4 linked regions of the Elephas maximus indicus genome follow. The protein of the gene in region 1 interacts with the protein of each later gene in a pairwise test. Links are inferred from orthologs where the notes say so. Each region holds a gene or a part of one and is shown in the gene's direction. Other genes may lie near its edges.

Region 1 (7,384 bases):
TATATTTATGACAACATATATGTTATATATCATATGTTGTCTTACATACAATTCATGTCCATCTCCCTCACCCTTTTTTTGACCAATTCAGTCTTCCCTCAGGTTTCTACAGATTTTATGGAAGTAAGATTCCTTCCTCCTTCCAGATGTGCCTTTTGGTTATCTTGCCTGCCCTCAGTTTTCCCCCTTCTGCCTTCTGAAGGTGCTCATTTTCTTCCACTGGCCACCTACAGATTCAAGACAGCACTCCACATTATCAGTGACACTAAATCCCAGTTGAAGCAATGAAGTCACGTGATGCATCAGTGGTCACCAGTGGGTGTCTTTCCCACGGGTACTGGTAAGAATGACTCAGCCTGTATCATTCTACGCCTCTAGGTTGACTTATTGAACCATGGTGCAGTGGTTAACCAGTCAGGCTGCTAATCAAAGGCTGGCAGTTCGAATCTACCAGCTGCTCCTTGGAAACCCTATGGGGCAATTCTACTCTTCCCTATGGGGTTGTTATGAGTCAGAATTGACTTGACGGCAACAGGTTTTTGTTTTGTTTACATCTTCCAACAGGCCTTGGTTCAGAGGTACTAAACTCTGTTTACTATTCCCATAGGGCTACTCATAGGCAAAATTTTGTAAGAGGCAGAGAAGGTTTTGAACCTCTTCCACCTATCCCTTTAGGGCATCTTTGAGTGCTAATTCCCATAAACTGACATTGGTTTTCCAGAATCCATGACTGTCACCCAAAGAATATTCCCTATCCTTGCTCCATGTCTTTAATCTTTCTCATTCCTGCTCCCATCTAAACTTACCTCTCCAGTGTCCTTTGTGTGTTTTCTTTATTGGGAAACCCAAACTAAGCCATTCTTTTGTTCAATGAATGCTAATGTTTGTTTACCCTTCTTAGGCACTAATGTTGCCCATTGCCCAAAAACCTCCAGAACATTAACTCCAATTGACATTTTTCTGTCCTCTTGATTTCATTAACATCACTCTCATCTTTCAAAGTATTGGCTCCCACAAGTTCACTCAAGTTAGTAGATTTGAGTGAATGAAAGGCTACGTGCCATAATTACATACATAGGTTCATCCAGTATTTATTAAATGTCCACTATCGTTTTTTTCTCGGTTAGGCATTACGCCAGGCAATGTGATCACGAGTTAGTATACCAGGAAGACAGACAAATAAAAGCACTAACAGTAGCACAATAAACATTAAGACAAGGAAACATAGGGTGTAATGAAAGCACTTAAGCACCCAAACTAGGATGGGGAGTCTGATGTGTAAGTTTTGACCTAGAGTACGGAGGGACTAAGTGTTCCAGGAAGCGGAACAACATAAAGGCCCCAAAGAGCACTGCGGCGGGGGAGGGGGGGATGGAGGCTAGAGTGCTTGGGTCCAAGGGTTGACATGTATTTAGGGTCAATGAAGAGTCGAGCTGGGCGGGGGTGGGACAGGCACAAGAGACAAACTGAAGAGGTAGACAGGACAGATTTTGGATGGGATTCACTAATATTTCAAGTTTTCTGGAAAAGTTATTTTCCCTAGACAGAATTTTCCTTCTTACTTTCTCTTGAACGATGCTTTTTCTACGTAAACCTGAGTTATTCTTAGAGACCTATCTAAGAACTGAAAAGGTTACCTAGACATTTCAGTTTTCTCTTCCTTGGAAACCCTGGTGGCATAGTGATTGAGTTCAGCTGCTAATCAAAAGGTTGGCAGTTTGAATCCACCAGATGCTCCTCGGAAACTCTGGGGTACTTCTACTCTGTCCTATAGGGTCACTATGAGTTGGAGGTGACTAAACAGTAATGAGTTTAGTTTGATATAATAAAAACCTTTTGGCCAACTTAGGTCATTTTCTTTTTTTTATGGTAAATATATATGTAACAACACATTTGCCTTTTCAACATTCTTCAGTGTACAATTCAGTGACATTATTTATGTTTATCCTGTTGTTCAACCACCACCATTATTCATTTCCAAATTCTCCTATCACTTTTATACTTAGGGCATTTCTGACTAAATATTTTATCAGTATCCTGAAATTCAAGCAAGAAACTGGCATCTATTCTATAAGAGCTCCCACAAAGATGGAGCCTGACACCACCTAAAACTCTCATGGGAAAGCAAAACTCATAAAATTCTTTCAAATTATCCCCCAACCTTGCCCAATACTGCAAAGGCTGCAATTCTCTAAATATATATATATACACACATACATATCTATATATATATATCTATCAAGAAACCAAATTTTCCTTTCCTTTCCTTTTTTTCAATCAACCAGTCTATCTGGGGCTATGTTCTACTGCCCTTCCTCCTCCAAATCACAGCCATGAATGTGTACTCCTTTTAAGTCCTATGATCAAAGTCCTTGTCTAAGGCCTGGTTTCCTTATAGTTTCCTCACTATCAGTACTGGCTCAGCTAAAAGAAAAAGAAAATTCATCCTTGGGTATCATTTGGCTACAAATAACAGAAACCACTCAAACCAGTTTAAATAAGAGGGAATTTATTCAAAAGAATACAAAAATACTTGCAGGGAATCCAACAGCTGCAATGGGTCAATAGCTAGAAGCACACCTTTCTGAAGGCTAGATCATGCTTTAATCACACAATTCTACTTCTGGGTTGTGCATGATCGTGAAGAAAATATCCTAGAGTATCCTTGTCATATGGTGCATAAGGGGCTAGAATGTAGACTCATTTCTGATTGCCTTTTTGGTCCTTATAGTCCTTTATGCTTGCCTCAAACTTGTCAAGCACATGTTGGCAGACACTCATGAGCTCATTCAGGCCTCTCTGAAACAGCTCAACGGCTGGAAGACCACCTCGTGTCTGAATGCGTAAATTGATTTTGCTCTCTGAAGGATGGGTCGTAGTGTAACCACAAAATTCCACTTCTGGGTTCTTCATGATCATGTAACGAAGAGAATTTCCTAGGGTATGGTCCTCTTCGTGCAATACAAATGTCACACAGTGTCTATCTGTTCCAGCTGCCTGGACCATTTCCAGGGCAGTCTTCCTCTCGCCTTCAGCCACTGAGGTCTTCGATCCTTGTGTTTTTCTACACACACATTTTTTATAAAAATGAGATCATACTGAATAGTTTTCATGACTAGCTTTTTTTCATTTACCAATCACAATTACAACACATTTTTACTCTAATCCACTCCAACCACACAGAACTATTTATTTGTCTCTTATTTTCCTGCCTCGGCAAATTCATTTAACCAATATTTAAATTACTGCCTCCAGTTTCTCCCTACTCCATTTGACCCTCCATAGGGACACAAGGAGAGCCTTCTTAAGGCACAAGCATAAATGTTTGCTAAAATATTATTTTGGTAGAGTCACAAGAAAGAGATAAGATTAGAATAGGGTGGGCCCTGCTGGAGGATGAAGAGGGCACCGAAAGTGATAGGAAAAAAAATACTGCTTAAGTGTAAATGTCAGATTTAAGTCCACAGATTATCGACATGCAGGCCCAGCTATGGCTTCCATTTGCAAGAGGTAAGGAAACTAGAGGAATGGAAGGTCTGAGAATAGTCAAGCAGGAGGGAGAAAAAGAACTCAGCACATAGAGAAGTGGCTTTACTAACAGTCTGCACAGAGAAGCTCGGGAGCAGTAAACACAGGACTTGCTTGGGTCTGTGCGAACACCCCAATACCATCCACTCGGGAACAGTGGCCTGGTGCGGAATGTCACCCGTTAGTTTTATTTATTCCTGCTGTTCTAAGGCGGGAGGAGCAGCTCGGGGGCTTTGCTCTGGTCTCATAACTTGTCTCCCCTCCTTGATAGCTACCAGTCTACGGAGCGTGTCCATTCAAGCCATCCATGTCTCTCACCCTCTCTCTCTTCCCCATGGCGGGCCCCCTCTCCACCCAGGCGTCCACGTCTATCCCCCTTTCCTCTCTTCTCGGAGCCCCGGGTCAGGCCCATCCTGCCAGGCCGGGCGCGGAGGCCGAGGCCCCGGCCTGGCCGCGCGCCTCCTGCCACCGGCTCTCCGGCCCGAGCGCAGCCCGCTCCTCCTGCCCGCTCGCCCGCCTCTTGGGCCGTTACCTCTCCAGCTCCTGGTCGTCCTCCATCGCGGCGGCAGGTTCCGGGCTCCTCAGGCGGTGCTGGCGGACCGGAGGCTCTGCCCCATACCGCGCAACGTGCAGGCGAAGCAGGAAGGAAAGACCGACGGAAGGAGGGGAGACGGAAGGAGAGAGGAGGAGCCGCTTCGGCGCGGCAGGGCCCGGCCGCTGGGCGGAGCTTAGAGGCTCCGCCCCGGCCCCGCCCCCGGCGCGAGGGGGGCGAAGGCGCGAGGCCCGCCCTGCTCACCTGGTGCTCCCCCGGCAGCCTGTCCGCAGAGCGGGAGGGGCGGAGAGGTGGGGTCCGGCGAAGGCCTTACAGTGAGGCCGGATACAGGCCGGTGTATGCCGGAGCTCAGCCCTGGGCACCTTCCCCCAGGTGAGGGCCAAGGGGGCGGGGCCTCACCTGCCGCCCCCTAATCACCTTTCTTAAGAGTCAGGCCTCTTTCTGTCTTGCTGTTAGACCCATGAGGATAGTGTTGCTCCCAGGCTGGCCCCTCCCGGCACCCCAACCCTCAAGGGGCTTTCATGGGACGACCCTAGGAGCACTCAGCGGGTACTGAGGTCTCTGTAGATCGCATTAAGTTTATCAATACACTTTTTAAGAAAGGAAGGAGGTAATGTGGAAAGAGAAGAATTTCAAACAAAATGGTTTCAGACAGTATTTGTCTCGTCGGAGATCTTGCAGTTGCACAACGTCTCGATTAGGCCAAAGGACACGCGTTTGCCTTTATCTTGGGGGAGTGAGAGTTTGCAAGAAAACTGGTTTTCCCCCTTTCTACCCCTAGAATACGTCCATCCCCGCTTTGGGCTTCTTTCCTCCCTTATCCTTTTGGCTCCTTAAACAACCTCACCTGCGGAACCTCCCTCTCACCTTTGTTCCCAGGTGCCCTGCCCCCGCCTCTGCAACCTTTCACCACCCGGAATCGGAGCTCTCCGCCCGCTTTCTTCCTTCGTTTCGCGTCTCTTCGTCCGCTCAGGTGCTCTTGTTCGTCAATAACCGGTTCTCCCTTCCCACTCTTCCGCTCCCAGCACCTCCCTTGCCCCCCGTCAGGCCCTGTCCACACCCCAGCTGTCCTCTCCCAGCACACCTACATTTCTTTTTCCTGCACCACCTGTTCTTGCCTCCCTCCAGATTTCCCTATATTTCCATCTCTCCCCCAGCTGTCCCATTCTCCTTGCGGCACTCGGGCATCGGGGACTCGTGCTGAGACACTTCCCGACCGCGTCTTTAGCAGGGAAATCAGGCAGGCGGCGGGGACAACCCTGACGCGGTGGGGGAGGGACGGCGGCGAGCGGGCTCACTCTAACCCGTGAGTGACGGCCCCTTCCTGACCCGCCCCCGGCGCACTCGGATAGGTGGAGCCGCCGTCTGGCCCGCCCCTTCCCCGCCCTGGGCGGCCGTGGATTGGCCCCGGTGCGTGTCAGGTTGGGCGATTCGGCCCCGGCGCTCGCCCCCGGGAAGACAGCAGGGGCGGTTGAGAAGTGAAGTCTTGGCCAGAGTTTGGTTCTTGCCAGGAAATCCGCGGCGGCGGCTGGAGGCAGCGGCCACGGCGGCGATTCCCGGCGAAGCGGCGCCGGGCTCGCTTCCCGCTCCTTCCGCGGGCTGCGGAGAGCGGGAGCCAGCGCGGGGCTGAGGCGCCGGGAGCTGAGCGCGCCGGACAGCCGTGCTTCCCAGTAAGTAACTTTGCCCGCCGCCGCGTCCGCTCTCTCAGGTGCCAGCGCGCTTGGCGCGGGCGGGAGGCTCGCGTGCAGGGAGCTGCGGGAGCCGCCGCACCGGGAACGGCGCCCAGCCTCCCCTCCCGGCGCGCCCCTCGCCGGCGGCGCTCTGGCTGCCTGGTGGAGCCGCGCCCTCCGCGGGTCTGCTCCCTCGCTCGCCCGGTAGCGGAGGGGACCTGGGCCGCACTTGCCGGCCCCTCGAGCGGACCCGGCGTGGGGGCCGGCCGCGCTTGTCCGGGACGGAAGTCCGAATGCCCTGCGGCGGTGCCGGCTGGAGCGGCGGGCGGCCCCGGGCTGGTCCCCTTGGGTGGTTTCGGCCGCTGCGTTACTGATCTCGGCGTCGTTTGCTTTTTTTAGGGAGGGGAGAGGTGGGGGTGAGCTTTTTATTTCCCGTACCTGTGCTATAGGGGAGGATGAGAGTGGTACGAGCTGCCTTCGCATCCGATCTGGTTCCCCTGGAAAGGGAGAGACAGGGAGAGCGCATACCCCTGTCCCAGCCTGTTGCCTGTTCTCTTCTTACCTTTCGGTTTAGGCTGCAGGGGGTGGGAGAACGATTTGCCATCTTCGAGGTGGGAATTTCAAAGTACAGATCTTGATTTGGAAGCAGCTGCGTGCAAAGCACGGTTTAGGAAATACACCACTCATTTTTCGAAGCTTTTTTCCACGTTTTAAGCCAAGGACTTTTGACCTCTATGTAGGGTTTCTTATGGTGTTTCAGTTTGTATTAAAGGTTGTACATCCTGATGTTCACATCTTCCAGAAGCTAAAGTCAGTTCCTGTATGGGGCTTCACTGTGTAGGTTATTCTTTTGAAATCACAGAGATCAGAGACGAGGTGAGATCAAGTGCAGTGGCAGTTCTGCAGGGGAAAACAGTTGGGAACTATGTATTATTGGCACTGCCTTCACTTTAAGAATTCCGTATTCTTGCATCAATAGTACTTAATGTAAATTGGCCTTCGTCCCAGGATAGATTTTCATTTGTCTCTTGCATGTGCTGTGACTAAGTGCTGATGGAGCTGGATCTCAGTAGATCAATTTTATTTATTTTGGTAGATTTGATTCCAACCCTCATTCCTCCCCCACTTTGGAAAATGTACTTTGGCAAGTAAAGAAGGAAGAGGGGAATCTGGTATCTTCTTTGGTTTGTCAGAGCTTTGTTGAGCCATGAGTAACAACGTTTTGCCTTTTTAGTTGGTCCAAGTCACAAATGTGCATTTTCCCAGAGGGGTCAAATGTAGGCCAAATCTGAACCAAAGTAGAATAACCCATTTGTAATTCAGCCCACTGATGTGCTCACATTCCTAATTTTGTATCTCATTCCTCTCCTTTTCTCATCAAGTTAGAAATTTTTCATTCTTTCTTCAGTTATCAAAGGATGGCATACTACTGCATGCCACGTGTTGATGGCCAGGGGCAGCCTTGCCCTGGAGTTGCTCACAGTCTCATTTGGAAGCTGATACAGACCAGTGTTCTATTAGTTATCTGAAGGTAATTTGAACATAGTGGTGCAGAAACTCAGAAGAGGGAGCAAATTCTGTCTGGTTGGGTTAGGATTTTGCCAACTATATTCTAGGCAGAGGAACTAACATA
Region 2 (7,384 bases), on another chromosome or scaffold:
ATACCCTCTGACCTTTTTCTGGTCCATGGGCACTGCTGAAGATATGCAGTCGCCCTAGGGGTTCCAAGTTGCTCCCCACAGATTCACTGGATCTCTCTGTTTCCTCCTCTTCTTCAGCCTCCCAGTCGATAACCTGGGTATCCTCCATAATCTGGAAGGGAACACATTATCATCATCCCCATCATTAGCTCATACACACAGTATTAGAGAGGAGACTGATAACTGGGGGTGAAACTGGATAGTTACGGAGGTTGATGATTTTCTTTCCGTCAATCGTTGTTATTATCCTCCTGAAGCGTTTTTCAAATATCTTTGATGACAGAGAGAGAAATATACAGCCTCTAGTACACAAACATAACAACGATTGTGAGCGTGGCGCAGGACCAGGGTAGTGTTTTGTTCTGTTGTACACAGGGTCGCTATGAGTTGGAACTGACTCAACGGCACCTAACAACACAGATACATGTGAACATATGTACTTCCTTACATAAACAAAAGTTTTGAGAAACAATACTTAACCTTAGTATGCACAATACGCTGATTATCTTTCATCTATTTTTTCTATACCACATATATCTCTTAAACGTTGACTTGCAACCTACTAAGTTGATTTCACTATCCATTATTGGGTCACAACCTATAGTTTGAAAAAGAGAATTTCAAAGGGAATTAACCTTTGCCAAACATCAACTATGTGTTGGGCATTGTGTTATGTGTCAGGCATCATAGCCATATGAGGTACGCATTTATGAAAGTAATGCTAAAAATATTTTTAAAAGTTGCTCAATATAACACAGCAGTAAGTAGAAAGGATAGGAATATATGTAATTCTGGCTGTAACGCCCATGCTTTTTACACTTTATCCTATCACCTCAATGTGATCACACTGAACTGCAAAGAATCATAAAACCAACCATCATGTAAAGATGCTTGCTTTATGCCAGTTACTATTCTAATTACACTAGCTGACTCATTTAACAGAAGAGCCCTGTAAGGTAGGTATTATTGTTATCTCCCATTTTTTCACATAAAGAAACTGTGACACAAAAGAACTTGCCCAAGATCACCCTGATGTCTCTCCTATTTAGTACCCTTTGCTGGCTTCCCATGTTCACAGGATAAAATAAAATCTAACTCCTTAGCAAGACCCTCCACGATCTGAACTTCATGTCCTGCAATGCCTCGCTCCCCCAATTTCACGAGCCTATAATTCAGTCACATGGGCCTTCTAATTAATCTCTGAAAACACAGTCCTCCTTGTCCTGCACACCTGCATGCCTTAGCCCAGCTTGCCTCTGGCCTTTCACTCTGAGTTTCCTGCTCCAACTCCTAATCATCCCTCAAGATTCAGTTCCAATGTCACAGCTTTCCAGTGTTCCTCCTGTATGTTCCGCAGCCTATCCAAACACTTCTCATTATAGTGTAACCATTACTTTCCATTTCTGCCTTCACACGCCCCCTCCAGGGCTGGACCAGCAGAACTGTCTTTTCCCCTAAAGTCCATCATATTCAACAGTAGTTATGGAGCAAAGTTTGCCGTCAAGGTATGTGGGACATATCCGTGAACCAAACATAAAATGAGCCCTGTCTTCATGGAGGTTACATCACTGAGCCTACTGGTAAAAGAACAAATGAAAGAAGAAGCAACTCAAAATAGCATGAGTGGGATTCACTTAGAAGGATGCCACCCTAGAGGGAAACTGGTCAGGTAGGGAAAGTAAGACGACCCCTGGATAGTGTCAACTCCATCCTCATGACCGGCCTGGCCTACGAGTCTTGACTCCAGTACACCAACATCTTCGATCCACAGCCCAAGTAGGTTCCGTTATGATCCAACGTCTCCCTGCGTCTTCATACCTAGAAGTCTGAGCTGGACGTCAGGAACGGATGAACACTGTAATCCCCGAAGCAAATGCCGAATGGTCTCCGCCCAGTCGCTCCCAAGGCACGCCCCTCCCGACCTCCGGGGAAAGGAGAAAATGGCACCCCGGGAAGCCGTGGGGGAGGCCCCCAGAACTCACCTACTTTGAGTCCCCGCGCGCGCCACCAGTAACGGCCGCGACCCGGGAGGCGGGAGTGCGTGTGCAGGAAGAGGACAGGTCCGCTGGTTGGCTCTTGTTGCTGTCCTTTACAGCTCTGCTGCACGCTGATTGGTAAAGTCTCCGCGCGGAGGCTCAGCCCTCCCCCGCCCCACCCCCGCAGTTCAAAAAGGCTGCAAGGAGGCTGAGATCTGTTGAGACTGTAATGGGAGGCTTCCGTGCGCCCGCAGAATAGAGCACCTCGATTGGGTAGCTCGAAGGGACAACCTACTACCGTTTCACCTCCCACCTCCCACTTCCCGCGCAGATTTCCAAACCGCGACCACAGAGTGCGACACCATCTTCTGGCGGCGGATAGAGGGGCTGTACCATAGACGTCGCCCGATGAGTCTGTTGCGGCCAGAGCGCCGTTCCTCCGTCCTCCTAGGCATGGTGTCTGCTGACTCATGAGAAATGGGTCGCGGGTTGCAGTCGTGGCTGCAGGCTGCAGTTTGGAGAACCGTTCGAAGGCGTGGCGCTTGAGGACTCCTCATAACAATGGAATTTCATTTCCTTTTTATTTGGCTTGTTTTATAGAAGTGCTGTCTTTTCCTGGGAATACATTCCTGACGGACATTTTGAGGTCATTTTCCTAAATCTCCCTAGGCAAACAGAGAGGACTGTTATGTATATGTTAAATGTATTTTAAAGGATGACCGAGGTCTGTCCGCAGCTTTCAAAGGGTGGGGGGAAGATAATAAAATCATTTTATTTCATTACCTCAAACTAAGACATGAAAAGAACAGTAACAATTTGACCTATGTATTATTATTATTTTTTATTATTATTTAGGCAGTCCTCTCTCATTTGTTACCTCAGTTAATTTTGACTACAACAATCAAATAGGCAGAAGTCAATTTTACAGACGAGGGAACTAAAGCTCTGTAGTTAAATGTCTTGCGTAAGTTCCTACAGCTAATGTAAAAAAAAAAAATGTTAGACGGAGTCAAATTGAAACAAGTTCTCTTAATTCCATGTTCTGAGCTCTCTCTACTGCCACAAACTTGTTTTCATTGTGATCATGCCCTAAAACATAGAATATCCTTTAAAAAAAAAAAATTCCACCTCAAGTGAGTAGATGGACATGAAAGGGTCTTACACAACTTGATGCTCCTTTATTTAGAAAGCGTCTGAGAAATGTGTGTTAAATTGAACGTGAATTAACAATGATGACCTTGCTATCATCTCTTATATTATGCTGCTTACCACGCTATTGTTATTACTTGTTTATTTGTTTCATCTAACTGCAAGGTCCTTGGGGTCAGGGAGCCAGTTCCTAATCATTTTTGTATCCCTAGTTCCTTGGTTTGGTGGACACTTAGTATCCATCAAATGAATGAATCTCCAGAAGGAGCATGCCACTCTGACCCACCCAATTTTCTCACACCGCTATTCACCTACCTCCCTTTTTATTTTTCAATTTTGGGACTCTAGATCAATGTGAACTGCATTAGGCACCTAACCCCACAGTTCCCTGTTAAACAAAAAGACCAAGGTGTCTTCAACAGTGCTTCAGGGCCCAGATCCTCTACATGGACCAAGACTTCTGACTTCACAGGTCCCAGATATCAGCTTCCCTAATCAATGAACTTATTCTTTGAACACACACTCCAGACAACTACATCTCTATTCTGAAAAGTCCTTGCTGCAATTTTGTTTCTCTTTTGAAATATCATTCGGAAACTCCCAAATAAATAGCAAGAGGGCAATCCCCTCCTGTTTCCAGAGGTATGTAGAGGAACCGTGGCTTACTGGAGTTCAAGCCTAGGTCATCAAAGGACCAGAAGATAGTAGCAAAGCAGGGTGCCGCACTTCTCCCCCGTTTTCGCTGAGGTAAGCAGCCCAATCTTCCTAAGAGCTACGGCAGCGGGGAGCTTTTCAGGGCGTGCCCAGCCCACCTCCCAATGCCTGGCACCCCAGACTTCCCAATTCTTGCATCTCCCAAAACTACTCCCCTCTGTACACACAAAAAAAGAGGAACAGAGGAAAGGGATCTTGTGCAAGGTCATAGTTTTTCATTAAAAAACAAAACACCAAAAAAAACCAGTACCCACCCTTTCGTCACCTCATTTTGCAGCGTGGACAACAATAGAGGACTACAACTCCCAGAGAGGACCGCGCGCGTCCCACTCTCGCGAAGACCAATGGGTGTCTGGTACATGACAGGCATCGACTAATCAGGGACAGACTTGATGAGGCTTTGTCTCCCGACCGCGGCGCGGGACCCAATCTCCCGCCCCCCAGCCCCCGCGCACGCGCGCCCCGCCCTGCCGCCTTCCCTCCCTCACCCTCCCCCTTCCTTCTTTCTCCCTCTCAGAACCTTCCTGCCGCCGCGTTCGGACCTCGCTGCTCCAGACTCCGGGGCACGTTCCATCCCCGCAGCCTGCGATCTGCAGAGCCAAAAATTATATATCGTTCTCTTGCCCCGCACACAACCGAGGCGAGCAGAAAAAAAAAAAAAAACTAAAATAAATTTTCATCATGAGGGAAATCGTGCACATCCAGGCTGGTCAGTGTGGCAACCAGATCGGTGCCAAGGTAAGGATTCTAAAACCTCTTAATATTTCTTTCAAGAAGAAAAATTCAGATCAGTTATGAAGGATGGTTGTGGATATTCGCGCTCTCCATCCGTAATCGAGCTTTGCAAAAATAAAAAGTGTGTGTATATACGCAGACACATTTGTAGCTAGAATTGCCTTTTGGAAAATGGGGAATTTGGTAAGTTTTCTCATTTTGGGTAAGCTGTTGACGGTTTGGGGGGCGGGAAGACGGAGGATCTGTAAGATTTTACTTAGGAGGGATCTTATAACGGTCCGAGGACGGGGGAGGGAAGAGACTAGCAAAGGGCTCGAGACAAAGCGAGGCGAGGTCGGCCCCATGTGCCTCCCGCCCAACCCCCCCGTGACTCGGGTTAGGACGAGACTGGAGGGGGAAGGGGCGAGGCTGGGCGGGCAGCTGCAGAGGGCAAGCCAAAGGTGGGGGGCGCGGTGCGCCAGAGTGGGCTGCTGCCCGTCCTGCACGAAAGATCAGGGACCTCGGCGCGCCCGCGGTCCCCGAGGGGCGGCTCCGTAGTTTTGCGTGGATGGAACGATAAAATGTATAGGGTCAATTTTACTTCCTTTTATTTCCTCTTTATGAGACCCTTTTAGGGCGTGAACAGATAGGAGACAGAAGGCGCGAGAAAAGGGGGAATAGGCTCGCTAAAAGGTCCTCTCGGGATAGTTGGAGGAAAAGAAAAAGAATCCTTTAAGGCAGGAAGGAAAAAAAACTATCGAAGGAATAAAATTCCAAAGCCGGGGGGGAGGGGGATTTTACTTTTTTTTTTTTGCGCGGGTTACAGTGTAGCGGGGGAGGGGACGGGGAGGAAGTGCGCTTGCTACGTTGTAGCAGCAGGGCGGGGCCCGGCGGGGGCGGGGCCCTGGCGCGCGGGGACAATGCGGCTCTGCCCGCCGGCGGGGGCGCTCGAGCCCGGCCCCGCCCCCCGCGCGGAATTCGCGCCCTCGGCTCCGCCCCTCCCACGCGCGACACCGCCCTTTGTCAGCTCCACGCGCGCGTGCGCGCGCCGCAGTCACGTGGAGCAGGGGGAGCGACTGCGGCAGCGGCGCGCTTCTTGGTCCCCGGTCCTTTGTGCATGGAGGGGCGGTGCCCGGGGGGGCGGGAGGGGAGCTTATCCGGTCAGCTCTGCCTCCCCACCCACTCGCCTCAGTGCCCATGAACGCCAGGCTCTCTCAGCAGCATATCGTCTCAAGTCCCAAGGAGTGGAGTTGAGTAAAGTATATAAATTGAGGTTCCTGAGGATGCGGGTGTTTAGGGAAAGGGCGTGGCAGGCGGAGAGAAGGGGTGCCAGGCTTTGAAACAGAGCCTACATGGTGCGCCTGGAATAAAATGGAAGGGGATGCATAGTTGGCTGGAACCCGAGCCAGCCAGGGGCTCATTGCTCTCCTTCGGCAGTTTTGGGAGGTGATCAGCGATGAACATGGCATCGACCCCACCGGCACCTACCATGGGGACAGCGACCTACAGCTGGACCGGATCTCCGTGTACTACAATGAAGCCACAGGTGAGGGCGTGTGCCCGCGAGGATCGGGTCCCATCTCCTCGCCCACTTCTCGGGGGGGGTTTCTTTCAATCTCTGGGGAATACCTTGTTCCTTTTGCATGAGTCCATCATCCTTTCCCTTTGGAAATGTTCCTCAATTTGGTTTCTTCCAACTTCTGGGGCCAAAGCCCAGCTCTGCTGCCACCTGCTTGCAGCGCCTGGAATCACAAGTCTGGGTCCCAGGCTCCCTCAACCCAATGCATTAGTTTTCCCTTCCAGTCAGTCGCTCTTACTCTTTTTCCTGTAGGTGGCAAATATGTTCCTCGTGCTATCTTGGTGGATTTAGAACCTGGGACCATGGACTCTGTTCGCTCAGGTCCTTTTGGTCAGATCTTCAGACCAGACAACTTTGTTTTTGGTAAGTTATACAGAAGAGATCAGTAGATGTAGTCTTATTTAGTTTGAGTATAAGGGGATAAACGAGAGTTAGAAGATGATGGTTTTACTGGAGAACTTACAGAAGGCTCTGATAGAAAGTGTAGGTAACAATTGTCTTAGCTGGTAGGTTCTAGAGGAGGATATATCACAGGCGAGGGTGGAGTAAAGATATCTCCAAGGGGGTTATTCCAAAAGTTGAAAGGTAGAAGTGTGCTCATGTACCTTCACACCTTCCTAATCAAGCTTGATTCCTTGACCCCATTCCAGGTCAGTCTGGGGCAGGCAACAACTGGGCCAAAGGCCACTATACAGAGGGGGCCGAGCTGGTCGACTCTGTCTTGGATGTGGTGCGGAAGGAGGCTGAGAGTTGTGACTGCCTGCAGGGCTTCCAACTGACCCACTCACTTGGCGGAGGCACAGGCTCTGGGATGGGCACCTTGCTCATCAGTAAGATCCGTGAAGAGTATCCTGACCGCATCATGAATACCTTCAGTGTGGTGCCCTCACCCAAAGTATCCGACACTGTGGTTGAGCCCTACAATGCCACCCTCTCTGTCCACCAGTTGGTAGAGAACACTGACGAGACCTATTGCATTGATAATGAGGCCCTTTACGATATCTGCTTCCGCACTCTCAAGCTGACCACGCCAACCTATGGAGACCTGAACCATCTTGTCTCAGCCACCATGAGCGGTGTCACCACCTGCCTCCGCTTCCCTGGCCAGCTCAATGCTGACCTCCGCAAGCTGGCAGTCAACATGGTGCCTTTCCCACGTCTCCACTTCTTCATGCCTGGCTTTGCCCCACTAACCAGCCGTGGCAGCCAGCAG
Region 3 (7,516 bases), on another chromosome or scaffold:
ACTCTGCTCACACGCAGATTTTTGCTTTTGATTGTATCCCACAGTGTTCTCAGGGTTTCTTCACTTTTCTTTGTTTTCTCTGTTTTTACCTCAAAGTGGTATCAAAGGACTTGTCTTCAATTTAGCTGATGCTGTCTTCCATTGCTTCAAATTTGCTCCTAAAACCTTCTATTGCACTATTTTTGTAATCTTGTTGTTTATCTTTTGGATTTCTTACGGCTGTTTTTGTATGATTTCTAGATGTTTATTTGTTTTGACATTTTGTTTCTGTACTAGTTTCCTGATTTCTTCCACTGTTTTCTCTGTCTTTTTCATGATTTTGTCTGTATTTTCCATGATTTTGTGCTGGTTACTGGGTGCTCTGTCTCCTGTTGGGAGCTCTGTGAAGTTGCCTTCCCATGCTCCCTGTCTGAGTTTTTTTGTGGCTGTAGTCCAAGATGGCAAATCTGGCCACAGTAGCTGGTATGGGACTTCCACTCCATAGCTCTCCTTGTTCTCTGTTCTCTGTCAGTTTCTTATTCCATTTGGTTCTTGACTGAGTTTTCTATTCCTTCCTTTGGTACTTAGGGTTCCATGATCAATGTTTGTAACTGTTTTACCTAGTTTTTTGAGTCTTTGCTTCAAAGGGACGGCATGGTGCTTCTGTCTATAGTGCCGTATTGGCTCCACCTCCGGCTTGCTTTGCTTTCCTGTCTTACTTCCTCATTGCCCTACTGGCACTTCCTAGAATCACCTTCCGGATGGACTATTTGCATCCAATTCCTTGTCTCAGGGTCTGCATCTGTTGTTGTTAGCTGAGTCCAGTTGGTCCTGACTCATGGCCACCCAATGCACAATGGAACAAAAGGCTGCCTGGTCCTGCCCCATTGCCATGGTTGATTGCAGATCAGACCTTTGTGATCCACAAGGTTTTCATGGGCTGATTTTCAGAAGGTCACCAGACCTTTCTTCCTAATCTGTCTTAGTCTGGAAGCTCCACTGAAGCCTGTTTATCATCCTAATGACACACAAGCCTCCACTGACAGATGGGAGTGGGCTGTGCATGAGGTCCATTGGCTGGGATCGAACTCAGGTCCCCTGCATGGAAGGTGAAACTTCTACCGCTGAGCCACCACTGCCCTAAACCAAGACAACATCTCAGTCATTAACTCATCTGTCATTTATTTAGCGTCTGCTGTGTGCCAGGCATCATCTCAAGCGCTGAGGGTACAACAGGGAGCAAAAGAGACATATGTCTGGAATCCCCAGGCAGCACAATCAATTAAGCATTCAATTACTGATCTAAAAGTAACAGTCTGAAACCACGCAGAGGCATCTGGCAAGAAAGGCTTGGCAATCTACTGCCGAAAGGTCACAGACATTGAAAACCCTGTGGAGCAAGGTCCCTCAGTGGCCTAAATGGTCTGCGCTCGACTGGTAACCAAAAGGTTGGCAGTTCAAACCCACCCAGTGGCACCATGGAAGAAACAGGTGATCTTCCATGAAGATTACAGCCAAGAAAACCCTAGGGAGTAATTCTCCCTTGTACACATGGGTCAGAATTGCCTTCACGGCAACTGGTTTGGTGTTTTGGTTTCGGTGGGGCTTATGTTCTAGTGAGCTCAGAGGCTCTTGAACAAGTACACAAAGCGAAGTATATGAAGACGCTCATTTCAGCATATTTTGTTGTTGTTAGGTGCTGTCAAGTCAGTTCCGACTCATAGCAACCCTATGTACAACAAATGAAACACTGCCTGGTCCTGCACCATTCTCTCAATCATTGTTATGCTTGAGCCCATTGTTGTACCCACTGCATCAATCCATCTCATTGAGGGTCTTCCACTTTTTCACTGACCCTCTACTTTACAAGCATGATGTCCTTCTCCAGGGACTGATCCCTCCTGATAACGTGTCCACAGTATGTGAGACATAGGCTCGCCATTCTTGCTTCTAAGGAGCATCCTGGCTGTATTTCTTCCAAGACAGATTTGTTCATTCTTTTGGCAGTCCATAGTGTATTCAATATTCATTGCCAATGCCATAATTCAAAGGCATCAATTCTTCTTTGGTCTAGCTTATTCATCGTCCAGTTTTCACATGCATATGAGGTGACTGAAAACACCATGGCTTGGGTCAGATGCACCTTAGTCTTCAAGGTGACGTCTTTGCTTTTTTAACAGTTTAAAGAGGTCTTTTGCAGCGGATCTGCCCGATTTCAGCATATACTTGGAAACAAGTACCCAAGGCATGGGTCCCAAGGAGAGAAGCCTTTCTGGAAAGAGGAAGAGGCAGAAGGACAGGGAAACAACCTGTCCCAAACGTTCCTTCCTCCAAAAGGTCTCCAGAATCCCTTGTCTCTTGTTACCACTTCACTCTTTCTGTTACCTTCATAGCACTTATCACAGACTGATGCTCTCCTGTTCCTTCATATGTTTGCCTGCCTAGTGTCTGTCTCTCTTCCAACCTTCTAGGACAGTAGCTCCGTGAGAGGAGGGAGGCCTGGCCTATCTCGTTCACCGTGGAAGCTTCTGGGCCTGGCACACGGTTGGTATTTGCCATGGAGTCGGTTCTGACTCATGCAGTCTTATATATAACAGAGCAAAACGCTGCCTGGCCCTGCACCATCTTCATCATCTTTGATACGTTTCAGTCTACTCTTGTGGCTTTTGTGTCAATCCATCTCATGGAAGGTTTCCCTCATTTGTGCTGACCCTCTGCTTCACCAACCATGATGTTCTTTTCTAGCAATTAGTCTTTCTGATGAATTTACTAACGTGCTCAGTGAGTAAGTTGAAGTTTCAACGTCCTTGCTGCTAAGGAACACCCTGCTTGTATTTCTTCTAAGATTGATCCGTTCGTTCCTCTGGCAGTCCACAGTCTACACAATATTCTTCACCAACGCCACAGTTCGAATGTGTCAATTCTTGTGTCTTCCTTTTTCATTGTCCAACTTTTACCTGCGTACGATGGCACACATAAAGAGCTGTTGAATAGACCATGAAAAACTGGCCCAGTTTCTGCAGGGTTTGTCTTTGGGCTGCAGTGGGAGGAGGGGGGGAGGAGTGGTGGGTTGAGTCCAAAGAGCCTCTTCCAACCCAGGGTTTCTGTTGCCTGAGGCAACAGAGGAACAAAGCTTAAAACCAAAAAGCCAAACCCATTGCCTGTGGAGTTGATTATGACTCATGGTGATCCCAGGGTAGAACTGCCCCACAGGGTTTCCAAGGAGCAGCTAGTGGATTTGAACTGCCGACCTTTTGGTTAGCAGCAGAGTTCTTAACCACTACGCCACCAGGGCTCCAACAGAAGCATCAAAAGAAATAAACAAACAAAAAAACCTGTTGTGTTCAAGTGGATTCTGACTCATAGTGACTGTACAGGACAGAGAAGAACAGCCCCATAGGGCTTCCAAGGAGCAGCTGATGGATGCAAACTGTAGACCTTTTTTGGTTAGCAGCCAAGCTTTTAACCACTTCGCCATCCCACCAGGGCTCCAAAAGAAGCTTAGGCAGTCCCAGTCCTCACAGTTTCAGGTCTCAGGCTCTCTCCCATTTGGTGAAAGCTCTGGCTTTTTTCTGCCATGAGGTAGGGGGCCTTACTCTCCTCACCCTAGTCTTGGTCTCCTTTTCTTTTTTCCAGACTGAGAATAGATCAAAGTTCAACCACAGATGCCTCCAGCCTGAAGTAGAGGTTTATACTTCTACGACTACTCAGTGGGAATCCCTGGCCAAAAGGTTGGAGTTTCAAGTCCACCCAGAAGCACCTCGGAAGGGCTGGTGATCTACTTCTGAAAACTCAGCCCTTGAAAACCCTATGGAGCACAGTTGTACTCTGACATACATGGGGTCGCCATGAGTTGGAGTCAACTCCATGGCAAATGGTTAAGACCCAGCCCAGGCCTCTAGGTGGGGACGAAGAGGTGGAGGTGGGAAGCAGAGCCACCCCCAGCTCCCAGAGTCCTGCTGTCTCTGTGTCCCCAGGACCTGGGAGCCACTCAGCGCCCCCTCCTTCCAGGACAGGCTAAGCATGGACAGAACAGTGAACACCCCCACTCCGCCTGCTTCCCCAGGGTGGGCTGGGCCCTGTCCCACCAGGCTGGGGCAGAAAGGGGAGCCTCCCACTGCCCTGTCCCCAGCCCCTGGAAAGGAGGGTCTCCAGCTAGGAGCTTGTTCTCAGTTCCTAGGTTGGGCCCTGTGCTGAGGCCAGGTGGCCACACCTTGTTCCTGACAGGGTCACAGGTTGCCTAGGGGAGCCCAGTGCCTCCACCCCTACTTCCCCCACCCCAGGGTCCAGCCTGACTGCTGCCAGCCCAGAGTTCTGAGGCCCCTGCTCCCCCCGCTCAGCCCCTGCCCACCTACGGCAGGACCTGAAGGTGAGAACTCAGCTCTTGTTCCTCCCTCCCCTTCTCCCCTGACCACAAGGCGCCAGGAGTGGGGGTCAACCTGGGAGCGACTTGAGGAAGGCGGGCCAGAGGCGGGGCGGGGCGGGGCGGCCCCCAGGCTCCTGTCCCGCCCCGCCTGCCCTGACTCACCCTCCCTGCCCGGGAACTCTGCGGGAGTCCCAGCCTCGCCGCTCCCAGGGACCCAGGAGTCAGGCCCAGCGTCCGTCCCAGAGCGGTGAGTGGGTAGCTCTCTGCCTCTGGGAATGGGGTGGCGGATGGTGGTCGGGCTGGGAGCCGGGATCTGGCCGAGGGCCGGAACTGCCCCAGGTGCGACTGGCAGCTGAAATTGTGGCCAGGGCGGGCCCTACTGGACACATGAGGAGCTGGGGGTGGGGTGGGGGACAGAGGCTCGGCCTTGGCGGGCCCGTGGGGTGCCAGCCCAGGGACCAGCAGGCCCGACCAAGTGACAGAGTGGAGATTGACAGGCTGGGGTCGGCCTTGGAGGTCTGGACCACGTCCCCGTTCTCCTTGATCACAGGGAAAACAGTAACAACTCATTTCTATTAGCCCCTCCAAGCCCCGAGACCCCTTCCACGAGGGTCCTCACCAGTCTGCCTTCTGAACCTCAAGATCCCCCCACTACCCAGGCCCCCCACCAAGTTCTGGCAGGGACAGCTTGACAAAGTATTAGGCTGAGGGCTCCCAGGCCTGGGGCCTTTCCCCAGATCTGCCACCAACGGGGCCCTCAGTTTCCCCTTGTGCTTTCTGGGCCCTCTCAGTGCTGACAGTAGTCAGCAGTTTCTTCCTGGCCCCTAAAGGCTGGGGTGGGTGGGGAGGGGGTGCTGGTGGAAACGGGGCCGGGGGCACTGCGTCAGGAGCCCTTGACGCAACTACTAGCAGGAAGTCGCTCACCATCTCTTTGGGGACAAGCTGGGGCATGAGGAGGGCTCGAGAGAGGAAAAGCAGGCCTCCAGCGTGCTGGGGGGCACACATCTGGGCATAGGTGGCCACCCTCGTGCCTTCTCTGCCGGACCAACACTCTGAAGCTCCCTTTTCAAAGATGCCCCATCTCAGGGAGTTTCTCTCCCGAGATTGAACAGGGTGAAGACAGACAGCAAGCACGCAGGCTGGGACAGAACAGGCCTTGACCACCCTGGGCGAGTTATTTCTCTCCCCTGAGTCTGGAAAGTGAGGATCCTTACCCCCCACGCCTCACAACACTGGGATAAGAGGAGGTGTTTAAAGCAGCAGGGTGCAAGTGGATTACGATTGGCTACTAAAGGCTGGAGGTTCAAACTCATGCAGCAGCCCCACGGAAGAAAGGCCTGGTTATGTGCTTCCATAAAGATTACAGCCAAGAAAACCCTATGGAGCAGTTCTACTCTTTGACACATGGGGTCTCCATGAGTCGAAATTGACTCGATGGCAACAGGTTTGGTTTTTGGTTTTGGTGGTCTTAAGTGTCAGAAACCCTGGCAGTGTAGTGGTTAAGAGCTACAGCAGCTAATCAAAAGACTGGCAGTTCGAATCCACCATTGGAAACCCTATGGGGCAGTTCTGCTCTGTCCTATAGGGTTGCTAAGGGTCGGAATCAACTCGATGGCAGTGGGTTTGGCTTTTTGGTCTTAAGTTGAGTGGCTGTCCCCACTGTTCTTCTCTGGGTTCCTTGCCCAGCCAGCCCCTCCTTCTGGGCCCTCAGGCCCTCCCACCAGCCCTGTTCAGACCAGGTGGGGGGTGGCCATGTGTCTGCGGAGACTTAATGTTAGGGTCACAATGATTAAGCCTGAGCCAGGAGACAGATAATGATAACCCCTGTGTCAGCCCCTGACTCTGTGTATGTCTACACTTCCTTCAGCTGGCTTGGGACCCTGTGTATTTCTGCTTTTGTGTCTGCATTTGCTGGCCTGAGGCTGCAGGAGGGAGAGCTAGCAGCACTGTGAGATCTGTCCTGGCCACAGCCTCCCTAGCTGAGAATGGTTGTGTGTCTCCATGTCTCTGGGTCTCCCCTCCGCTCAGTGAGTGTGTCTTGAAGCTTTGTACCCACACACATGCATATGCAAACTCCAAATGCCCCCGGGTGTCCCTCTTTGTGGCTGCCATTAGTCAACCTCTGCGTGTTTGTGTCCATCCGTGTTTCCATCCATTACCTGGTGACAGGCTGTCTGCGGTGCACTCCTGTCTTTGCCTGGGACAGGGTGTGTACCTGAGCGTGTGGGGTGCGCCTGCAGGGTGCTGCTGTGTGGGGGACCCTGGTTTCTGTGCACCTGCTTGCATGTGTCTGACTCCACATGAGTTTTGAGTCAGGTACCTGTGAAACCGGGCAGGTGCACATGGTGTCCATGTGTAGCCAGGCATGTGCCCGCCCCCTTGCATGCCAATCCCTGTACTCACGTGGGAGCCCCTGCAGGGGTGGATTAAAGGCCCCTCTCCCACCTCCATTCCCTACCCAGGAGCCATCCCAAGGCCTTCAGGGAACATGGGGGAACTGGCCAAGGTGGGGGACAGGGGGCACCTTCCTGGAAGATGGGTGGGAGGCCTGAGAGAACCAGCCCAAGGAAGGGTCTCCAGCTGGTGCTGAGGGTGCTGTCCCAGCTTGTGGCTCTCACCCCTGTAGGATAGACAGAGTGGGCCAGGCTGCCCAGGGGCCTGGCTCCCCAGGGCCTGGCTTTCTTCCATTTTCAGATCCTCCGCCCCCTGCTCCTGCCCTCCGAGTGCCCAGGTCTCTGTTTTCTACCACAGATTCTGGGCTCCGGCCACTCTAGAAACCCTCGTGCCCTGTCCCCCCACCCCTAAGGCTGACCAGCACTCAGTGTGGCCACTCCCTGCCCTTGGGGCCCCCGTAACCAGAGCCTGAATCCAGCCGGCTTTTCCGGTTGGAGGTTGGAGGTGGTGCCCACAGCCCAGTGCCCCTGAAGGTGGGCCGTCCTAGACTGGTCCCAGCCCACACCCCGGAAGTCCCGGGCCTCAGGACGCTCCCAGGTCCCGGGCAGGTGAGAGCCGGGGCTGGCAGCCGGGACAGGGATTCTTAAGTCAGGGGGCACCTGAGGGAGACCTCGGGGCCAAGAGGGGGATGCCTGGGTTCCAGGAGAGGGCCCCACTGGGAAGCTGGGAGGCAGTGGTCCTGCAGCCCCTCTGGGCTCTGAGAGGGCCAGTGAGTCA
Region 4 (7,641 bases), on another chromosome or scaffold:
TTTTGATTACCGTAGCTTTGTAGTAAGTTTTGAAATCAGGACATGTGAGTTTCCAATTTTGTTCTTGATCAAGATTGTTTTGGTTATATGGAAAGAGCCCTGGTTGCACAGTGGTTAAGCAGTTAAGCACTTGGCTGCTAGCTGAAAGTCAGTGGTTTGAACTAAGCAGCTGCTCCGCAGGAGAAAGATGTGGCCGTCGGCTTCTGTAAAGATTACAACCTTGAAAACTCTATGGGCAGTTCTACTATGTCCTACAGATTCACTATGAGTCGGAATTAACTCAATGTCAACAGGTTTGGCTGGATACATGGGACCTGATGCAATTCCATATGAATCTGAGGAATAGTTTTTCAATTTCTGCAAAGATGGCTGTTGAAATTTTGAGAATGGTTGTGTTAAATCTGTATATCATTTTGGTTAGTACTGACATCTTAACAATAGTAAGTCTTCCAATCTATGGAAATTCATTTATTTAGGTCTTTTTAAATTTCTTTCAGTAATATTTTATAGTTTTCAGTGTCCAAGTCTTTCACCTCCTTGGTTGAATTTACTCCTAGGTATCTTATTCCTTTAGACACTATTGTAAATGGAATCACTTTCTGAATTTTCTTTTTGACTTGTTTATTGCTGGTGTATAGAAATACAACTTATTTTTGTGTGTTAATCTTGTACCCTGCAATTGCTGAATTAGTGTAGTACTCTAGCAGTTTTTTTTGTGTGTGGATTATTTGGGATTTTCTATGTATAGTATCATGTTGTCTACAAATAGAGAGTTTTCCTTCTTCCTTTCCAATTTGGAATCCTTTTCTTTCTTTTTCTTGTCTAATTGTTCTGGCTATAATTTCCAGGACAATGTTGAATAGCAGTGGTAAAAGTGAACATTCTTGTCTTGTTCATGATCTTCATATTTTTTTTAAATCAAAACCAATCAACAGATATTTAAGTATTGTTATGCAAATGCCCACACTAGGTGCTGAAGGAGATACACGGGATCCTTAATTCTTGAACATATGAGGCAATTCGTATTTGTCTTAAAATCTGCTGTTTAAGGGAAATCTGTAATTGTCATTATCTCAATCTTGGTGATAGTGTCTCTCTGTGGAGCCCCTCTCATTATTACCAAACTCAAGGAAACGGAAATGAGCCAGTGAGGCTCAGGAGAGGCAGTAAATGCATGTGGGAGTTGCATTCCTATCACTCAGTCTACTTTGCCTTTAAATTTATTCACTCATTCAACAAATACTAAAGTACCCACTATGCACAGCAACTATTGTAGGTACTGGGGATACGGGAGTGAATAAAACAAATAATAATAAACAAATTAACAAAAAATGTAGTACTGGTAAGTGCTAGAAGAAAAATAAACTAAGGAAGGGAATTAGGAATTGCACACACGTAATGTGCTTGTATCTATGGGTGAGGCGAAGCTGGGCTGGTCTGCAGCTTTAGATAGTGTGCTAAAGAAAGGCCTCTGCAAGAAGGTGACATTTGAATCAAGATCTGCTGAATGTGAGGCAGGGAGCCAAGGGGGTATCTTGGTTGAGAGCGATCCAGGCAGATGCAGTAACTGCAAAGGCCCTGAGATGGAATGCATGATCTGTGAGAAGGAGGCTAGTGTGAATGAAGGAGAGTAGTGGATGTGGCTAGAGAGTTCAGGGGCTGTGGGTGGTGGCTGGGTAGAATGAGTAGAGTTTTTCTAGTAAAGAACTTTGGGTTTTCCCCTGCACAAGACAGGAAGCCATCTGGTGAGTTTTGAGCAAATGAGTGACCTGCTCTCCTCTGACAACTGGGTTGAGAATGGACTGTTGCTAGTAGGGACAAGAGTAGAAACAGATTGACCAAACCAAAACCAAACCCGTTGCCGTTGAGTCGATTCCGACTTATAGCAACCCTATAGGACAGAGTAGAACCGCCCCATAGGGTTTCCAAGGAGCACCTGGTGGATTCGAACTGCAGACCCTTTGGTTAGCAGCCATAGCTTTTAACCACTACACCACCAAGGTTTCCTAGAAATAGGTTAAGAGAGAAATATACTGGTAGTTTGGACTGGAGTAGTGGCATTGAAGGTAGTGGGAATGGGTCAGATTCAGGGTTAAAACTCAGACTGAGAGCAAATTCATAAGAGGAGATGAGAGAAACTTTCTCTGAATTTATAAAATAAAATTTTCCTCCTTAAAAAATCACTCTACACCTAACTTTTCAGAAATGGGTCTCTCTTCAGTTAAGCTTACTGGTTAACAGAAGTCAATACGAGCCAGTTTTCATATTCCTTAGTGTTATTATACTGTTGTGCTATATTATTTTCATCTTCCCGTCCTGGGTTCATTTTCCTACTAGCACTTGAAGCCCTCATGGTGCAGTGGTTAAGAGCTTGGCTGCTAGCCAAAGGGTTGGCAGTTCAAATCCATCAGTTGCTCATTAGAAACTCTATGGGGCAGTTCTACTATGTCCTATAGGATTGCTATGAGTCAGAATCGACTCGATGGCAACAGGTTTGGTTTTTTTTTAACAAATACTTTACTCATATGTTTGTCTTCTTCACCAGGATATAACTTCACAAGAGGAAGGATTTTCTATTACACTTACTGAGAAGTCCCTCAAGTAGGAAAAGTACAAGACAGCACAGGTTTTTTTAGTACAGTAAATCTGACTTATGGCTACCAAACTACATCAGCCAGTCCTTGAGTGACTTTCCTGACTTATACCCCTTATTTAAAAAAGATAAAAAATTTCAAAACTGTATGTATTGCATATAAAAGTTTTAAGATTACACAGAACTTTGATGTTGAATATTAAAGATACTTTAAATTCGGTTAAGAAAAAAACCTGTTGCCATCGAGTTGATTCCAACTTACAGCAATCCTATAGGACAGAGTAGAACTGCCCCATAGGGTTTCCAAGGAGCAGCTGGTGGATTCAAAGTGTCAACCTTTTGATTAGCAGTCAAACACTTCACCACTGAACCAGTAAGGCTCCAAATTCAGATAACAAATCTTGTTTATTTCGTAAGACTCGAAAGTGATATTTTATCATTTAAGATCCTAATGGAATGGTCTTGTATTATCTGTGAGTATGACGCTTCTTGCAGTGACAGTTCTAGTTCTGGAATATTTTTGCTAAAACCATCAAGATTTCTTGCTATAAAAAAGCTATGAAGAACTGAAGTGTGATTATATCTGGCTCTGCAAACATTGGGAAAGTGCTATGAGCCTGCCATTAGTCTAAGAAAAGCTTCAGAATATGTATGCAAATTTTGCAAATTGAGTTGGTTTTCCCGACGGTACTATGAATAAAAAAGACATTTTAACAAATCATAGGTTCATAGAAAACCTTTAGTTTTGTGGTCTAATTTCTCAAAGAATAGAAAATTAACCTTCAATAAAAAGTACATGGGGACCTTGGGCAAAAGTTTTATTTTTCACAGGATTGAAGTACAGGCGGAAAGAGGCAAATCCTACGGTATCTGGAGGATCTAACTAAATGAATTTCTACCTAAGCTATTAAATTACAAGAACTGAAGAGATCATTTTTCTCCTACAGTGGCCTTTCAAATTAAATATAAAAGCAGCTCAGGCAGAGAAAAGTATGCAGAAAAACTTCTGGGTATCACACTGAACTTGACCAACATCTTAATTATTTTTCTCTCATTTAATCAACTATCTGACCGTTGAAGGAGAACTCGACACCCCTCCCCCACTAAGTTTATACAAAATACCACCCCCAAAAGCCAACTTGTCCACTTTCATTAGAAAGAGTTAAAGCGCAAATCTACATGTTGCAATTCCTAAGCAAACGTAAGGGCACCACAGACCAACAGAAGGACGCACTTTAAAATGTGAGGTAACAAGGTCTTTAAAAATAACCAAGCGTCATTGCTCCGCTGTGACATCAGCGACTACATAAGCACTGCGATCTAGTTGAAAATTTGTGGACTAGATATTTTCGCAACGTTTTTATAAAAGAAAATGATGCTACTACTACAGAGGGCTTCACTGAATTTCTTCACTCTTCCCTGAATTTCTTTACCGTTGCTTCTGAAAAGGGGGCTGTCTGCTGTTTCAGGGCAATATTGGGGGAAAAGAACCTCACTAACAAAAATCCATAAGGCTTTGCTAATGTGGGAAAAAGATGGTTCTCTGGATTTGTGCCTTGGAAAAAAAACTTTTTTTTTTTTTTTTGAGTTCTTGCTTTGCTCTTAGTGATCTGATACACAATCCCCCACACATATTTAGGTGCTCGGCTTGACAAAGTAGGGAACAGATGGGAGCTGCAGTCCCGTCTTTCTCAGGCTCTGTACAGGCAAACAGGACACAATTTCGAGCTCTAAGTTTGCTTCTCGCGGACTCCAGCCTTAGTTTCCCCCTTCGTTTGTTAGATTTTTCACCTCGCTGATTTTATTCAGGGTCGGGAAAGAAGCGGTCGTTACTCCGCCGCCGTGGGCGGCCGCTTGGCAACGAGGGTCTCGTGAGGGGGCAGGACCCATCCCTACCCTCAGTCAAGGCGGGTTTCCTGGGGCCGGTCGCTCACCCCTGGTGGCTTCCCGCCCGCGGCGCGGGGGCGGCTCCGGTCTGGAGCTGCCCTTTTCCAACATGGCGCCGCGGGAGGCGGGCCGGCTCTCGGCTCCCTGGGTTCCGGCGCCGCGCGTTTTGGTTCCGGAGTAACAGTGTGCTCGCGGTCGCCTTCCTACTCCTCCCGCCTCCGCCGCCGCCGTCTCCGCCGTCGCCGCTGTCGCAGCCGGACGCTCGGCCTCGGGCGGCCGGGCCTGAGCCCGCGCGCGCCGCGTCCCCTGGCCGGGGGTGGGGCAGAGGACTGGCCTCCTGAGCCCTCGGCCGGCGGCTCCCTCCTAACAGCCCCAGACTCAGTCCGCTCCAGTCGGGGAGCCTCCCCTCGTCCCCTGAGGAGGGGCGGACACCTGCCGCTGTATCTCCCCCAAACGGGGTCCTCGCTCGGCCGACTCCTCACACCCACACAGACGGCAGAGAGCTTTCAGCAACCCGTCTTGCCTCCCTCTCCAACTCCAGAACCTTCAGACTTCCGCTCGTTCCTACTGTCCCCTGCCCCCTCCCCTGTCCACCCTCACAGGGAGACACCCCAGCCCCTCACGGAGCCTGGTTCCGTGCCTGCGGGCCCTTCCTGACCACCCTCCTCTCTCATTCACCCCTCACCCTCCAGACCTCACTTTTCACCCTCTGCTCTCTTCTCCTCACCCCCCTTGGCTCCTCTTTGAGCCCCCGCCTAAACCGGAGGCCAGTGGGTACCCCGTACCCCAGGATGTGAGCTCCTCTGGTCTGTAATGCTGTGGCTGGCCTTTGGCCCCTTCCATGCCATGGAGAACCAGGTGCTGGTCATTCGCATCAAGATTCCAAACAGTGGCGCGGTGGACTGGACAGTGCACTCCGGGCCGCAGTTACTCTTCAGGGATGTGCTGGTGAGTGTCCGAGTCTCAGCGAGGTGGTGGGGTGCTCAGGGACCTGAGGAGTGGTCAGCACCTTAATTGCTGAATCTTCCCCTGGATCGCTATGAGTCAGAATCGACTCGACGGCAGTGGGTTTTTGGGCTTTTTCCCCTGGATGGGGCAGTTTTATTGCTTTAACCACAAGCATTGATTAATTTCATCAACCCAGATCTGGCAATTGTGCAGGACCCTGGGGAAATAGAGGAGAATGAGACCACACCCCTGCCCTCAGGGAGCTCACAGACTGGAATCACACACATAGAAGCAACCAACTGGGATACAAAAAGCTGAGTCTAGAAGACAGACCTTTTCCCAAGGATTTGGGGCAATGTCTGGCCGAATTCTAGCCATGTTTTTCTACTGAGTTTTCTGAATTTTCTCCTGAGGAGCAGCTGGTGGGTTTGAACAGCCACCCTTTCAGTTAGCAGCTGAACACTTTAACCGCTGCGCCCCCAAGGCTCCTCTGAACCTGGTGACCAGTGAGGAAAGGGAAACTGAAACAAGGGCAGCTTGAACTTCCCATGTTTCAGCAAACCTAAGACATCGTTGATTGTAGGACATGCCATTGTGGGATGTATCACTAAGAAAAACTAATGCTGCCCTATAAACCATGACACACCATCCATCGTAAAGACAAAATAAAGCCCAATTTCAGAGATGTTAAAATACGGGAAAATGTGTATCTTAGAATCAAGATACTTGAAATGAATTTCAAATAAAATCATGGGATGTTAAAGCAGAGTATAATCTTGGAGTTAGGCCAGGTTACAAAAGGCAGGAAAAAGTTCACCCATGTACCTTTTTACAGATAGCTGCTGAGGAGCCAACCAAAAGAAAAAAAAAAAAGAAACCCTAACCCATTGCCGTCAAGTCGATCCTGACTCATAGCGACCCTAATAGGACAGGGTAGAACAGCCCCATAGGGTTTCTAAGGAGCAGCTAATGGACTCCAACTGCTAACCTTTTAGTTAGCAGCTGAGCTCTTAACCACTGTGCCACCAGGGCTCCTGCCTTCCAAAGCCGTGTAGCTCCTGATGGGGAGAGTCAGTACTAGAACTCGGATTTCCTTACTATTTTTTTTTTCCCACAGGCTGCTGTGCCACTTCTTATCTTTCTAACATTCATTTGAGGTAGGATGCCTTGTGCCCATCTTACGTATTGAATAACTGAGGCATCAAAGGCAGAACTGACATAGCAAATCGCAGATCTGTGGTAGAACTTACCCGCTAGGTAAGATGGGGCTGAGTGGCAGGTATGTGATGCAATTTTTGATTGTCATGAGTGACTCGACGAAACTTTGATTGCTGTAATTTCATTTTGAGTTCTGGATGTTACAAACACCCAGCCGTGCAGGTTTTCAGGTGCCTGGGCCAGGAGTGCTGAGACAAGAGTGACATAGCAACCTCAGTATTGTGCACCAAATGGTATCCTTCTCTTTGCTCTCAGAGTTCTCCACACACTCACATGCACGTAGATTTCCCTTCTTGATGAGGCCCAAACTACCTAGCATGGTCCTCTGGGCAAGTCTTGATTGGCTTTTGCCTACCTGGCACCAGCTTCAACTCCTACGACACACCCCGAGCATCCTGTACTCCAGGTGTGTGGAATCACTTTCCATGCTCTCCCGGGGCCCAGGTTGTCCTCACTTTGCCCTTTTCTTCAGCTGTTCAACTCCCACGTATCCTTCAAAGCCAAGCTGCGCTATTCTTCCTTAGTCTTGGTTATGTGGCCCTCCTCTGTGTTCCCAGAGTTTTGTGTGTGTATGCCAGCAAAGCGAGACATGTTGTGTCATGGTTATTTGTCTGTCTCCTCCATTAGGTGGTGAACTTCTGGAGGAGATGGGCATGTCTGTTTCTGCTCTGTTTCTGGTGCTTCATAGGACTCTGAAACACTTGTTTAATGAGGGAGCTAAAAAGTTATGGTACACTTACAGTGCTGTGGAAAGAGCACTGGGTTTTGAATCAAGACATTGGGGTTTGATTGCAAGCTGTCCCACTAACTAGGCAAGTCACTGTATTTCTTCTGTGCCTCCATTTCCTTATTTGTAAAATGGAGGATGATACCTGCCTCAAAGACTTGTGAAGATTAAATGAGATTGCATCTGTGATGAGAAAGACATGAGCTTTCTCTCACTTTACTCATTTCAGACAACAGAAGGTATAAGTAGAATAGGACAGTGTTTAAGA

The links.
Region 2: the proteins of LNX2 (region 1) and TUBB interact in a two-hybrid assay, tested with the Homo sapiens proteins (3 studies listed by BioGRID and IntAct). The link is inferred for Elephas maximus indicus from reciprocal best matches to the Homo sapiens genes LNX2 and TUBB.
Region 3: the proteins of LNX2 (region 1) and LRRC8E interact in a two-hybrid assay, tested with the Homo sapiens proteins (3 studies listed by BioGRID and IntAct). The link is inferred for Elephas maximus indicus from reciprocal best matches to the Homo sapiens genes LNX2 and LRRC8E.
Region 4: the proteins of LNX2 (region 1) and MAP2K5 interact in binary tests that used the Homo sapiens proteins (3 or more experiments, as listed by UniProt). The link is inferred for Elephas maximus indicus from reciprocal best matches to the Homo sapiens genes LNX2 and MAP2K5.

Annotation. Positions count from the first base shown.
Region 1 is NC_064841.1:59,714,647-59,722,030, reverse strand, and holds the start of LNX2 (ligand of Numb protein X 2), read left to right. Parts: upstream 1-4,373; 5' UTR 4,374-4,453; intron 4,454-4,978; exon of another isoform or gene 4,979-5,054; intron 5,055-5,529; exon of another isoform or gene 5,530-5,751; intron 5,752-7,384. Other genes in the region: protein POLR1D-like, read right to left, coding at 4,061-4,086; POLR1D (DNA-directed RNA polymerases I and III subunit RPAC2), read right to left, coding at 2,701-3,064, 4,061-4,086.
Region 2 is NC_064819.1:91,029,399-91,036,782, forward strand, and holds the start of TUBB (tubulin beta chain), read left to right. Parts: upstream 1-4,378; 5' UTR 4,379-4,559; coding exon 4,560-4,616; intron 4,617-6,029; coding exon 6,030-6,138; intron 6,139-6,423; coding exon 6,424-6,534; intron 6,535-6,821; coding exon 6,822-7,384. UniProt on the Homo sapiens protein: Tubulin is the major constituent of microtubules, a cylinder consisting of laterally associated linear protofilaments composed of alpha- and beta-tubulin heterodimers.
Region 3 is NC_064821.1:12,623,448-12,630,963, forward strand, and holds the start of LRRC8E (volume-regulated anion channel subunit LRRC8E), read left to right. Parts: upstream 1-4,510; 5' UTR 4,511-4,592; intron 4,593-7,312; exon of another isoform or gene 7,313-7,347; intron 7,348-7,516. UniProt on the Homo sapiens protein: Non-essential component of the volume-regulated anion channel (VRAC, also named VSOAC channel), an anion channel required to maintain a constant cell volume in response to extracellular or intracellular osmotic changes.
Region 4 is NC_064831.1:57,634,134-57,641,774, forward strand, and holds the start of MAP2K5 (dual specificity mitogen-activated protein kinase kinase 5), read left to right. Parts: upstream 1-4,629; 5' UTR 4,630-5,293; coding exon 5,294-5,428; intron 5,429-7,641. UniProt on the Homo sapiens protein: Acts as a scaffold for the formation of a ternary MAP3K2/MAP3K3-MAP3K5-MAPK7 signaling complex.